Linked DNA regions of Stegostoma tigrinum. The protein of the gene in region 2 purifies or fractionates together with the protein of the main gene of each other region. This does not show direct contact. Links are inferred from orthologs where the notes say so. Each region holds a gene or a part of one and is shown on either strand. Other genes may lie near its edges.

The links.
Region 1: the proteins of flii (region 2) and lrrfip2 purify together in Homo sapiens (affinity purification with mass spectrometry; 3 studies listed by BioGRID and IntAct, with this or other methods). This does not show direct contact. The link is inferred for Stegostoma tigrinum from reciprocal best matches to the Homo sapiens genes FLII and LRRFIP2.

What each region holds. Positions count from the first base shown.
Region 1 is NC_081358.1:6,313,464-6,321,067, forward strand, and holds the start of lrrfip2 (leucine-rich repeat flightless-interacting protein 2), read left to right. Parts: upstream 1-4,583; 5' UTR 4,584-4,816; intron 4,817-7,181; 5' UTR 7,182-7,266; coding exon 7,267-7,356; intron 7,357-7,604. UniProt on the Homo sapiens protein: May function as activator of the canonical Wnt signaling pathway, in association with DVL3, upstream of CTNNB1/beta-catenin.
Region 2 is NC_081376.1:25,218,565-25,225,533, forward strand, and holds the start of flii (protein flightless-1 homolog), read left to right. Parts: upstream 1-3,946; 5' UTR 3,947-3,996; coding exon 3,997-4,059; intron 4,060-6,969. UniProt on the Homo sapiens protein: Is a regulator of actin polymerization, required for proper myofibril organization and regulation of the length of sarcomeric thin filaments. It also plays a role in the assembly of cardiomyocyte cell adhesion complexes.

The DNA of each region.
Region 1 (7,604 bases), on a different chromosome or scaffold from region 2:
CCATTTTGCCCAGTTTTCATCTCTTCTCTCATTACCCTTCACTCTGGCTCTGTATTCGGGCCCTCAGCCCTCTCCCAAATGCTGCTGTCTTTTGGTTCTTGGCCCAATGGTATCTAACGTCACAGTCCAGCTCTATTTAGACACCGAGATAATAAAATGTGAGGCTGGATGAACACAGCAGGCCAAGCAGCATCTCAGGAGCACCTGAGATGCTGCTTGGCCTGCTGTGTTCATCCAGCCTCACATTTTATTATCTTGGAATTCTCCAGCATCTGCAGTTCCCATTATCTCTGATTCTATTTATACACCCTCAGGTCTCTCCAATCCACACTGATTTCCAAATGTTTGCCATATGACCTCTTGCACACCTGTGGGTGCCTTCCACGTCTCCAATCTGACTCTACTCTCTGGCTACGGGCCTCTCCTATCAGCTGTTAATTTCTGGCTCTCGGGCCATTTCTTCGAGTTTTATGTTCTCAAATCTGGCCTTTATTTTGATGTTTTCTGGCTCACTGGTCAAACCCATTATAGCTAACTTTTCAGCCCTCAGTGTGCTCCCTCTGGTGCTGTTTTGTGGCTGTGGGACCAGTCTCTTGTGCTGTTTTCCAGCTCTCAAACCAGTCTGCACATGTGCTGGTTTTGAGTTCTCAGATCTGTTCCCACTTGTGCTTTTGAACCTCACCACTGTCATGCTGCATTCTACGTCTTGAACTACTACCCACTCTCACTATTTTCCAGCTCACAGACCACCACATCACACAGTGCTTTTGAACTACTCAGAGCTCTCCCTCTCGTGCTATTTTTGATCTCTTAAACCCCATACTGCACACCCTTGTTTTTGAGCCTTCACATCACGCGGTTCTTCATTTCCCATATGTCTTTATGCTTGGACAATTTTCAATCTCTTAATTTCCTTCCCAACTCACCCTACATCACAGAACATATACTTCCAAATGCTTGTGCTGTTTTCAAGCTCTCACCTCAATCTGTTTTCCCGGGCTCAGATCTCCTCCCCTCTTGAAATGCATCATAGCACACAGACCTCAATACTCAACATGTTTTCAAGCAGTCATCACTCTCCTTGCTGTGTTTTTCAGGTCTCAGATCTCTTCCTTCTTGTGGTATATCCAGCTAGATTATCTATCTTTGAAGTGCCATCAATACTACCTATCACGCGAGTTCACCTCCACTATCCTGATAGCAGTCTCCATAACACCCTACGCTATACACTGCTACAAATGGAATTGAGGTGGAATGCCTCTAGGCACTCATTATAGACAGCAACATCAACCAGGCCAACCTCAACAGTATGCTACCAAAATACTATCAACATGCTTCCTGCCCCATCAAGGGCTGAACATCCTTGACCATTGCTACACACCTGTCAGAGATGCCTACTGCTGCATACCCCATCTACATTCCGAAAATCAGATCACAACGCAGTGTTGCCCGTCACAGCTTACAAGCAGAATTTGAAACATGAGGACATTGTACAGAAAGTAGCAGTGTTATTCCGAGGTACTGTTGGAGCTTCTATGGGAGTGCTTTGAATCGGTGGACTGGTCCATTTTCAAGAATTCAGCGGCCAATCTAGATGAGTATGCTATTACCATTAAATAATTCATTAGCACTTGTGTGGAAGGATGTGTGACAAAATACTCAAACCGAATAGTCCCCAATCAGAAAGCATGGATGAAGCGGAGATCCATTGCCAACTAAAGTCCAGGTTTGTGGCATTCAAGTCAGATGACCCTAATGTTTACAGGAAATCCAGATGTGACCTCCATAAAACCATGAGACAGCCTCCAATGTATCTGTTCCATCATTCACCATTGCAGATGTCAGACCTTTATGAGTGAACCACAGAAAACGACTGGCCGATATGGAGTCCCCCACCATGCACTCAGATTATGCATGTACCAGCTGGCAGGAGTAGTCGCTGACATTTTTAACTTCTCCTTTCTACAATCTGTAGTCCCCACCTGCTTCAAGAAGACCACCATCAGGCCGGTACCAGAAAAACTTCATGCAGCTTGCCTCAATGACTACCACCCAGTGGCTCTGACCTCCACAATTATGAAGTGCTTTGAAAGGTCAGTCATGGCTCATGTCAACTCCAGCCTCCCCTGATCCCTGGCAACTCACTTACCGTTGCAACAGGTTCATATCAGACACCATCTCCCTGTCCTTACAGTCATCCCTGGAATAAAAGGATACCTACATCAGTCTTCCACTCATTGACTCCAGCACTGCCTTTAATACTATAATTCCAACTAATCGTCAAACTCCAAGACCTAGGTTTTTAATCCGCGCTCTGCAACTGGATCCTTGACTTTCTGACCCACAGACTGCAGTCAATGAGAATAGGCAAGAGCACCTCCTCCATGACAATCTCAACACCAGCGTTGTGCAAGGCCCTCCATGTATACTCATGATTGTGTTGTCAAATCAAACTCTGGCAACAAGTTTGTTAATAACACCACCATGATAATCTGGATCTCAATGACAAGACAGAATAAACGAAAGAGGTAGAGTGTTTGGTGGTGTGGTGTGAAGATAACAATCTCACCCTCAAACGTCAGTAAAATGAAAGAGCTGGTCATTGACTTCCGGAAGAAAGGTTGAGGGCACGCCCCTGTCTGCATCAATGGATCTGAGGTGGAGATGGTTAAGAGCATCAAATTCCTAGGAGTGATGATAACCAAAATTGATGCAGTGGTCAAGAAAGCACTACAGCACATGTATTTCCTCAGGAGGCTAAGGAAATTTGGCATGTCCAAAAGACTCTTACCAATTTTAATAAATGCTCCATAGAAAGCATTCTATCTTGATGCATCACAGCTTGGTACGGCAACTGCTTTGGCCAGGATTGTGAGAAACTACAGAGTGTCGTGAACATAGCCCAGTAATTCACACAAGCCAACCTTCCATCCAGTGACTCCATCTATACTTCTCATTGCCCCAGTAAGGCAGCCAACATAATCAACGATCCCTCTCACCCTGGTTATAATCTCTTCCAACCACTTCCATTAAGCAGAAAAGGCAAAAGCTTAAATGCATGTACGAAACAGATTCGAGAACAGCTTCTTCCCTGACTTTGGAATGGACCTCTCCAAATTTAATGTCGACCTCGCTATTTGTACATCTTCTCTGCAACCGTAACATTGTATTCCATGCTGTGTTCTCTTACCCTCTGCACTTTGGCTGGTATGATCTGCCAGTACTGCACAAGAAACAAAACATCTCATGGTCCCTAGCTAGACATGACAATAATATATGAAATTCTAAAAAACAAATCAGCTCTCTGACCCTTCCATCTCATGCTGTTTTCCAGCTCTAGTCCTATTATGCCTTGCGCTTTTTGCAAGCTGCGGCAGGACTCCCCTTTCGTCTTGGTTTTTGAGGTCTTGCACCTTTCCCTTTGGATGTTTTCCGGCTCTTGGGTCTCTCCCATCCAGCACTATTTTTCAGTCCTCAGGACTGTCCCACATGGTGCTGTTTTCCCAGTTGTCAGGCCCTTCCAGTTTTCAGTCTTTTCCCTAATATTGGGAGACCTGCTGAGCTTTTCCAGCTACTTGTTTTTGTTTGATATCAACTGCAGTGCCTTCCTCAGCACATCGCAAGAAAAAAAATTCATTCAGGACTCTGAGAATAGTAGAAACTGCAGATGTTGGAGAATCTGAGATAACAAGGTGTGGAGCTGAATGAACACAGCTGGCCAAGCAGCATCAGAAGAGCAGGAAGGCTGACATTTCGGGCCTGGACCCTTCTTCAGAAATGGGGGAGGGGATGGGGGGGTTCTGAAATAAATAGGGAGGCAGATCAGAGATGGATAGAGGAAGAAGATAGGTGGAGAGGAGACAGACAGGTCAAGGAGGTGGGGATGGCGAGCAGTTTCAAGGCTGAAGAGATTACGAGAGAGTTGCAGTGGGAGAGAGATCTCTTGAAGTTTGTCCGGAGGCAGGAGGGTAACTTCTTCAGGGTAGGCATCGTTAGAAGAGGCTTCACAGTGGGGTTAAAATTGTATCAGAGATAAGAGGAGCTGAAGATGCTGGAGAATCCAAGATACCAAGGTGTAGAGCTGGATGAACACAGCAGGCCAAGCAGCATCAGAGGAGCAAGAAAGCTGATGTTTGCCTGTTTTCCCTATCTGTCTCCTCTCCACCTATCTCCTCTATCCATCTTCGATCCGCCTCCCCACCCCCTCCTTATTTATTTCAGATTCCCCCTCCCCCTCCCCCTCCCCCATTCCTGATGAAGGGTCTAGGCCCGAAACGTCAGCTTTCCTGCTCCGAAGATGCTGCTTGGCCTGCTGTGTTCGTCCAGCTCGACACAGTGCTCATTCGGGACCTCCCTGACTTCCTACAACAAATGACCAAACGCTGAGCTTGTCATCTTCGCCACGGTCGCTCAAAAGGCTCTCCAAACCGCTCACAATCCCGCCTCGCCGAACGCGCACACATGCGCAGAACGTCGCCCCCGAGCGCATACCAACCCGAACTTGTAGCCTGTGCGCGTGCGCACCGAGCCGCCTCAACCAATGCTGGCGCGAGGCACGCGGTTAAGCGCATGCCCAGCGGGAGCCGTTGACGCATGCGTGCAAAGGAATTGGCGGAGTTGCCAGCTGGTGGTGGTTTAATTTTGGGATAGGGTTAGAGTTTTATTTTAAAATCCTCGTTTCAGGCGGAGCTAAAGCCGAGTGGTCGGATCAAGAAACGGGTTTGTTGGTGATGTTTGAACGGGTGGCTCAGCTGGTGACGAGACGAATGGCTGGTTGATTGTCCAGGACTGACCGAAGGAGTGGCCGAGCCGCTTGGTAAGACAACCTCGGGGCCGACTGATCACCAGCACCGCACCTCCGTTCCGTTCCCCCGGCAAGATCGGCGGATAGGCCTTAATCTCCTTTGCCGACCTCGAGGGCTTTTCAAGCCCCTTTTCCTGGCCTGTCGCCCCGAGCTTGACTTGGTCTTAGCCTGGCCTATTGTCACTGTTGGAGAGAGCAGGTCTGAGCCGCGCTGCTGGTGTCAGCCCGGGGCCGGGCCGCTTCCTGCGCTGTACCGCCCTTGCATTGCTTACATTCAAACTCAACTTTTGGCTCCTGTCCAGGATTACTACCTTTTATTCAAAAAATCATGTCTCCGAACCTGCGGAGTTAGCTTGAGGTGAAATGGGTTACCTTGGCGATGAGAGGGCAGTCATGCTGCATTCCAGAGCAGTTTGCTGTCAAACTTCACTGCAGGTTATGAAGACCCAGTGATGACAGGAGTGATAGGAGAGCAGTATAGATAGACATTTTGCTGCCATATCGACTTCTGCTTGGTAGTGATTGTTGAGTTTGTTTATTGTCGTAGCTTCTTGACTATTTTACATGATTGTACTTTTGTTTGAATTCTGCATATTGATTTTCCTAGCTGTAGTTGTTTCCTCTTGACTCCTTTTGGCTTTTGTGCATCTACCCTTTTCTGGCATCTGTAGCTATGTATTAAGTTGCATAGATGTTAAATCCCTTTTTGTATCTCGAATACTGTTCCCTTTTATTAAATCCACCCTTTGACCAAGCTTTGGATCATCCTTCTTAATCTCTTTTTGGTTTGAACTCTGTTTTCTTCTGGCTTCTGTCAAGCACCTCTGTATATTCTTCTAGATTTAATATATAGATAAAACTGCACAATGGTTAACAAGAAGACTCCAATTTGAAACTTTTTTAAACGTCTAGACAGCAGTTTGATGTTGGCACATTGACACTGCAGTATTATGTGCTGAAATGTCATGATGCTTTGCACCTGTTAGCTGTATGACTATGAAAAAAGGAGTTGACCTTCTCCTAGTTACTGGGCTAATTGTTTTTTACATCACAGATAGCTTTACAGTCTTCACATTATTCACAACTTATTTTGTATTCATTTCTTTGTCCAAAATGAATGTCAGAACACTAATTATTTTAATAGTTTGCAACTTTAGTGTTGAAGCAAAAAAGTTGAAGTATAAGTATTGAGACATTACAGTCTGGTTTGAGATCAAGTTATGTTAATTTCTGTTAAATGACATTAACCAGTGAAAGTCATGGGAAATTGCAGCATTAGGATTTGCAGCATAATTTGTCAAACGATATTCTTGTCCCCTGAAGATCATAAGTATTAGAAATAAGAGTAGGCCAATTTGTCCCCTTCTGTCTGTTCTGTCATTCTATAGGATCACGGCTGTTCTGACTTTACTCACGTCCACTTTCTTGCATTTTGTCCGTAACTCCAATTCCCCTCCAAATCAAGAATCTGATCCTTAAATACAAAGGACTCTACCCTTTGTAGCTAGGAGTTCCAAAGACTCACTTCCCATTGGGATAAGGAGGAATTTCTTCTGTCGTAAATTGGCACCCCTCAATCCTGAGACTGTGCCCTCTGTACCTACATTCTCCAGTGAGGAGGAACATCCCCTCAGCATTTTCCTTGTCGACTCACTTCAGAATCGTAAATATTTCACCTGAGATCACCCCTCATTCTTAACTCCAGTGAATACGGTACCAACTTGTTTGGCTGTTCTTCATAAGACAGCTGCTTTATTGAGATCATTGTAATAACAAATATAGAAATTAGGAGCAGGAGTAGACCACTTGACCCCTTGAGTCTGCTGTACTATTCAGTATGATCATCAATCTCAGTACTCTAATTGCTTCTTCCCCCATATTCCTTGATCTCTTTAGTCACACAAGCTGTATCTACCTCCTTCCTTAACACAATATTTTGGCCTTGACCACTTTCTGTGGTTGTGAATTGCACAGGGGTGACACTCTGGGCGAAGAAACCTCTCATTTCAAAACTAAAAACCATACTTCTCATTCTTAAACCATGAACCCTGGTTCTTGACTCCACCCACCATCTGGAACATCCTTCCTGCATCTCGCTTGTCTTGTCCTGTTAGAATTTAATACTTCCCAAGTGATGTGATTCCCTTCCCCTAACCCTGTTAACGTTCTCTCTGAACTGCCTTCAATGAAATGAAACCCTACCTTAAGGGCACCAGATCTGTTCTCAGTACTCCAAAAATAGTCTCAGCAGCACTGCGTACTTCCCTGATCTTATGCCCCAACCTTTGAAATTAGGGCCTATGTTCTATTAATTTGTGACATGTAATTATTCTTTGGAGGAGAACAATTTTGGTAAGAATCTAATTTTGTCTTGTAGTACAACTGGTGGAAGGAGTTCCCCTCCAAATGGTATTCGATCTTATTGGTTTGGACTTGTAGAAGATTTTAATTGTTTGGAGAAAATGGGGACACCTGGATCTGGAAGGAAACGAACGCCTATTAAAGACAGATTCTCTGCTGAAGATGAGGCCCTGAGCCACATTGCCAGAGAGGTTGGTTGAAATTTAATTTTGAATGTTTCCATTATTATCAGCTGTTGTGATTATTCATCGTGGTGGGATGTTCTCACCTTTTATCTTCAGTTTATAGTTTAAATTCACATCCCCTCTAGGGTACACAATGCGACAAGCCAAGGCTTGTGACATACTTTGTATGAGTTGAACTACAGTTTTTATGCAAGTTCTGTTTCAGTATTGGAAAAGAATGCTGCTGCAATCTTACATCTTTAAGTGGTACTGGG
Region 2 (6,969 bases):
AACTAGAACTGTGCACAGTATTTCAAAGGTAGCCTCACCAACGCCATATAGAGCCACAATATGATGCCGCAATCGCGGTCCCCAATGCCCTGACCAATGAGGGCAAGAATGCCAAATGCCAGCTTCACCACCCTGTCTACCTGTGACACCATTTTCAAGGAACTATGTATCTGAACCCCCAGGTTTCTCTATTCAACAACACTCCCCAGAGTCCAACCTTTAACTATGCAAGTCCTGTCCTAGTTTGTCGTACCAAAATGGAACATTTATCGAAATTAAACTCCATCTGCCATTCCTCCGCTCATTGGCCCAGCAGGCCAAGATCTCATTGTACTCTTAGGAAACCTTCTTCACTGTCCATTATTTTGGTGTCAATTTTGGTGTCATCCACAAACTTACTAACCATGCCTCCCATATTTTCATCTAAACCATTTTTGTAAATGACAAACAAAAGCGGACCCAGCACTGATTTTTGTTGCACATTGCTCGTCACAGGCCTCCAGTCAGAACAACAACCCTCTACTACCACCCTGTCTCCTACCGTCAGGCCAGTTTTGTATCCAGTTGGCAATCTCTCCCTGGATCCCATGTGATCAAACTTTCCTAACCAATTTGCCACATGGCACCTTGTTGAAGGCCTTGCTAAAGTCCATGTAGATGACGTCTACCACTCTGCCTTCATCTATCTTCAAAAAAAAACATATTCAAGTCCGTGAGACATGAGTTCCCACACAAAGCATGCTGACTATCCCTTATCAGTGAAGAAAAATCACAGTTAACATTTTGAGTCCAGTAACACTTCCTCAGAAGGGAAGGCTCATGGAGCCCGAAATGTTAACTGTGAATTTTCTTCAGAAGCTGCCAGACCCGCTGAGCTTTTCCAGAAACTTCTGTTTTGTTCCTGATTTGAACCTGCAGTTCTTTCAGTTTTAATCCCTCATGAGAATGAGTCCTTGCCTTTACAAATTCATGCAAATCCCATCTCTCAGACTCCCCTCCAATAACTTATCTGTCACCAATGTCAGGTTCACCAGTTTATAGTTCCCTGGTTTTTCCTTGCAGCCTTTCATAAATAAAAGGTACAACTTTAGCAACTCCCCAGCCTTCCAGCACCTCACCCCTTTCTGTAGATGATACAAATATCTCTTCTAGGAGCCCTGCAATTTCATCCTTAGTTTCCCACAGTGTCCTGTGATACACTTGATCAGTTCCCAGGATTTATCAATCATTATGCGTTTTAAGATTTCCAGCACCTTCTCTTCTGTAATGTGGACTCTTTTTAAGACATCACTATTTATTTCCTAAGTTTCCTGGCTTCCATGTGTCCAATCTCTTCTTTGCTTATGATATTCCTATGTCCTCATGGTCAATACTGCCAAAAGTGTCTTTACTTTTGAACTTCCCAGAAATGACTACCTTGGAGCTCTGACCAAGTTACAACAGCTGCGCTCCTGCTCTAACAACCACCAGCTCTCAACTCCGTCACTCCACTCTTGCACTCGATCACAAAAAGAGTTTGAAAAGCACAGCTGTACCTTTACTTCATTTACCTGTGCTGGATCAACAAATCTTCTGTGTATTTATTATGTATTAGGTTCAAAAGGAGTCCTGCATGTATTGTAGGAACCACATTTCCCTAGTCCCTTCATCTTTCTCTTTTGTCCAGTTCATTTGGGTAGTTTTCCTCATTTCCCATAATGATTTTATGACGTGTTTTTTGTTTGAAACTTCGATTCCCTAAATTGTTTTCCTCCATGTCCCTTCTGCCCCAGGAAATCACAACTTAGGAAGAGATACTTACATTTTTTTTAATGGTTGGATTTGATATTCAGCTTTCTGTGCTTGGATTCACTCAAATGTAAATTCAGCAGTTTTGGGGATGTGGCAATCTAGTTGTATTCTTTTGTAGGTTGTGTGACTGGCTTATCTAGGGAGCTGTCTGGTGGGTCACTGGCTTTATCAAACATCTGCAAACATACAGAGAAACTCAAGAAGTTTCCTTGAACTGTGCCATGTAAAAACTCAGATGTTAATAATTTGACAGAACTAAATCTAACCCATCCCACTGACGAGCAGCTAGTAACAGAAACCCTGAATGATTTGGAGTTCCAGAGTTCAAAAAGAGCACACGGTGCAGTTCTACAGTCCATGTTACAACAATGCGGTTGACACTGAACCCATGCAATCTATGCTGTCCAGTAATCAGCAGCCAATCCACCTCTTTCAAACATCACGTCACCGCTGTTGCACATTGAATATCCAGGTGGTAAACTGCATGCAGGCTCAACATGGTCACAGTATAACATTGTTGAAGCTTGACCAAGAAATGGCAGATGGGCCAACTCAGCCTTTCAGCAGCATCACTGCAATAGCAAGTACAGCAGCTCCCCGAACTCCAGCTGGGCATTTGTCAGCAGGAAGTTGATGACATCTTCAAACTCACTGTCTCTTCAGTTTCCTTCTCCCTGAACAATATTGGTCATTTTGAAGAAGCACTCAGGTGAAGAAAAATTCAGGAAAGCATTACAAACAAAACGTATTAAAACATGAATAGTTCCCTTCTCACTTCCCTTCCAGTTGCCTAAGCATAATCAAGTGAACTATAGGGGGAGTGAATTACAGTTGGCTAATGATGCCTCAACGGGCAGCCACTGAACAAGGAAAAAGTAGAAACTCAAAATACGCTCAGTTTGTGACAAACAACTGCACCTTCCAGTCATGAACCACTTCAACACCCCCTCCCACTCCTTGGATGCCATGTCCATCCTGGGCCTCCTCTAGTGCCACAATGATGCCACCTGAACACTGCAGGAACAGCACCTCATATTTCACTTGATAACCCTGCAGCAATGGTTTCAATGTGGACCTCACAAGCTTCAAAATCTTCCCACCCATGACCTCATCCCAAAAACCAGCCCAGCTCATCCCCACCTCTTTCACCTGTCCGTCTTTTCTCCCACCTCACTGGCCAACCCCCACTCCACCTCCTACCTACCAGTCTCATCCCACGTCCTTGACCTGTCTGTCTTCTCTCCACCTATCTGCTCCTTTATCCACCTCCCATCATCGCTCTCCCCTTCTCTCTATTTATTTGAGACCCCTTCCCCTCCCCCATTTCTGAAGAAGGTTCCAGACCCAAAACATCAGCTTTCCTGCTCTTCTGATGCTGCCTGGCCTGCTGTGCGCATCCTGCTTCACACTTTGTTGTGTCGGATTCTCCAGCATCTGCAGTTCCCATTATCTCTGATCTACTAACAAGATATTACCGTGCGCAAAAGAAACCTGAATTCAGTTGAGAGACTGATATACGTTACTTGGGAAAAAAAATACAATCTGCAAATTGAATTGACATTTTACAATTTCCTTAATAAACGTGTACCAAAAGTTAGTATTAATTTCCGAATTAATCGTTGTACATTCGCGGTAACATGTAAATAACAACAACCGATATTATAACTGGAACAACTAATCCTATAGATTAATACTACAATTCAACTTCAAACATGCTTTCGCCAGGATTGATCAGCAAACCCGGTACCAGTTGCTGTCAATCATTCAACAACCCTGGCTGCCAAGGCTGCTATGGATTGGATAAGAGAGGTAGGCCTATATTACGGCTTCCCGAAAGACTAGCAGCCGGTAAGTCACTCGAGATCTGCGCCACTTATTCCTTCCTCACCCCATTATTTCATTTCTTCCTGGAATAGATACGACTCGCCCCCAGACTGTAACTGACATCTGAAGCAGCCAATGAAACTACCCATGTCCCGCACACGTGACTGGTGAAGGGGCGGGGAGTTACAGACGTTTCGATTCCGGGCGGAAATCGGGCCTCAACCTTTTGTGGCCGTACTCTTATTGACATAACATTGGACCAATCATTATCCAGAACCCCAGCGCTTGGCCCGGCTAAGTGCGACGGTGAACCAATGAGGTGTGGAGAAAGGTAGGCAAGGTTTTTGGCTGAGGTGTCCGTGATCAACTGTCACTGTTAACATGGCTGCCACCGGGGTGTTGCCTTTCATTAGAGGTGTAGATTTAAGTGGAAACGATTTTAAAGTAAGCCACTTACATTATTCTGAGTATAAAACGAAATGTAAGCAGATGTGGAGTTAATGTGGGGTTTGACCAATCAGTTGTTTCGGTAAAGTTGATGAGGCCCGGCACTGAGACCTGGAATCTTGTGTTGTTCGTTTAATAATTTTGTATTTAGATTTTAAAATATTGCCTATCTGTTTGTATAATAATAGCAAAACATTATCTCCTATTTCGTTTCTTTTAAAACAACAGCTTGCATTTACTTAGCTCCTTCAGTAGAAATATGAAGAAGTGTCTCGACCCGAAACATCAGCTTTCCAACTCCTCTGATGCTGCTTGGCCTGCTGTGTTCATCTAGCTCTACACCGTGTTATCTGAGAAATGAGAGTTGTGTTTAGTGGCCTTTTCATGCGTATTCCTTCATTCAGCAGAACCATTCAACATAATTTCTGGCTAATCAACATCATCCCCGTATCTCTTGATTTCCTTAGTACCCAAGAATCCTTCCATTATGTTTTGAATATGCTCCGCAATTGAGCCTCTGGTGTGAAGCATAAACTTCTCCGATTCTCAATCAGCCCTGTCATTCAGTTCGAATGCTAGTCTAAATGCTTGACTCCTTATTTGAGGCTGTGAGACCTGTGTTCTAGAATTCTCAGTTAAGGAAATGTTTTCTCAGCATTTATCTATGAATTCTGTTAGAAAATATTACAAAATGTGATGTTTGACTTTGCTCATCTCGCATTCTACTAAAATACAGGAAATGTAGACCTACTCTACTCAATATCTTCTCTCCACCAATCTTCTCATTTTCAGGAGCTAGTCTAGTCAGCCTGTTACTCTGCCTCCTGGGCAAATGTTGGAAATCATGGGGGCAACTCCAGAACGATGGAACACAGCAGGCCAAGCAGCATCTTAGGAGCACACAAGCTGATGTTTCCGACCTAGACCCTTCATCAGCTCTTGTACTTTCTTGCAGCTAGAGACACATAAACACATACTTTGTCTGCCTCATGTCAGTTTTTATAACTAATTTATGGTATTGGATTACCTCATCCTAAATCTTGTCACCAGGGATGTAACTTTATTGGGCCAAAGAGACCTTTTTTGAAATATATTATTATGAGAATGGTAGAATTACTTCCTTTTGACAGCCTTGCTTTGACCATAAAGATTTTTAAAGTCAGAATACACTTGTCAATTCAGTGTTTAATTGTTCAAGCACTGTGATTGGAGAAGACACAAGTGTTTTGTAGGTTCTTAAAATGTAACTAGAATATTATTCTAGGGGAGGCAACAGCGTAGTGGTATTATTGTTGGCCTGTTAATCCAAAGATCCAGATATTGTTCTGAGGACTCAGATTTGAATCCTGCTACAGCAGATGGTAGAATATTAATTCAGTGAAAATCTGGAATTAAATGTTAAGTGATGACTACAAATCCATCGCCAATTGTCAGGAAAAACCTATGTGGTTCACTGTTGCCCTTTTAGGGAAGGAAGCTGCCAACCTTACCTGGTCTGGCCTGTGTGTGACTCCAGGTCCACAGCAATGTGGTTGACACTTAACTGCCCTCTGGGCAATTAGAGATGGACAATAATTGGTGGGCTAGCAAGCATCATCCTCATCTTGTGAAGAATGGAAGAAAATTGTACTTAACACAATTTAAATAAAAATAACAATACCATTCTGATTCTTTCGCCTCTAAATTCAAGGGTTCACACATTTTAAGTTAGAGTTTGAGGATAGGTTAAACAATTTAAATGTCTTAACCCTCAAGCCTGCTGTACTCTTGATTTGGATCGTGATTGATCTGATTACTCCACATTCTGGTTCAGTTTTGATCTCCCTGCTTTAAGAAAGATGTTAAACTTGAGTTCAGAAAAGATTTACAAGGATATTGGCAACGTTGGAGGCTTAAAAAGCTGGGGCTTTGTTTTTCCTGTAGTGTCAGAAGCTGACCTTAGAAGTGTATGAAATCATGAGGGGCGCAGATAGAGTGAATAGCTAAGATCTTTTTCTCAGGTTGGGGGAGTCCAAAACAAGAGGGCACAGGTTTAAGGTGAGAGGAGAAAGACTCAAAAGGGACCTAAGGGCAACTTTTTCTCAGAGGGTAGTGCATGTATGGAGCTACCTGCCGGAGGAGGTGGTGGAGCGAGGTATAATTACATCTGGATGGGTGCATGAATAGGAAGGGTTTAGAGGGATGTGGGCCAAATACTGGTAAATGGGATTAGATCAGTTTACAATATCTGATCGGCATGGAAGAGTTGGACCGAATGGTCTGTTTCTGCGCTGTACAGCTATGACTTTGTAACTATCTTGGATAGGTTCAGCTTAACCTCTTTGTTCTTGTACTCCAAGTGCCATTTAATACAGGTAGACAAACAGAAAGCTGGAAGAACAAAGCAAGCCAAGCAAGCAAGCAGCATCTGGAGGAAAGGAGAAGTCAACGTTTTGGGCATTATCTTTCTTCAGCCCTGAAAAGGGCTAATGCCTGAAATGTTGACTTCTCCTTTCCTCCAGATACTGCCTGGCTTGATGTGTTCTTCTGGCTTCCCGTTTGTCTACCTTGGATGCCATCATCTGCAGTTGCTTTGTCTCTCACTAATTAATAAAGCCCAGTTTCAGCTTTATTAACTGATGTCTATATCATAGAATCTCAACGGTACATAAAGCAGCCATTCACCCCATTGACTCTGTGCTGACCCTCTGAAGAGCATTCCACTCAGACCCAACTTCCACCCTATCCCTGTAACCCTGTATTTACCATGTCTAACTCACCTAGCCTGCGCAGTCCTAGACACTACAGGGCAAATTACAATGGCCAATCCCTCTAACCTGCACATCTTTCGACTTTGGGAGGAAACTGGAGTGACCAGAGGAAATCCACACAGACCCGGGGTGAATGTACAGACTCCACTCAGTCAGT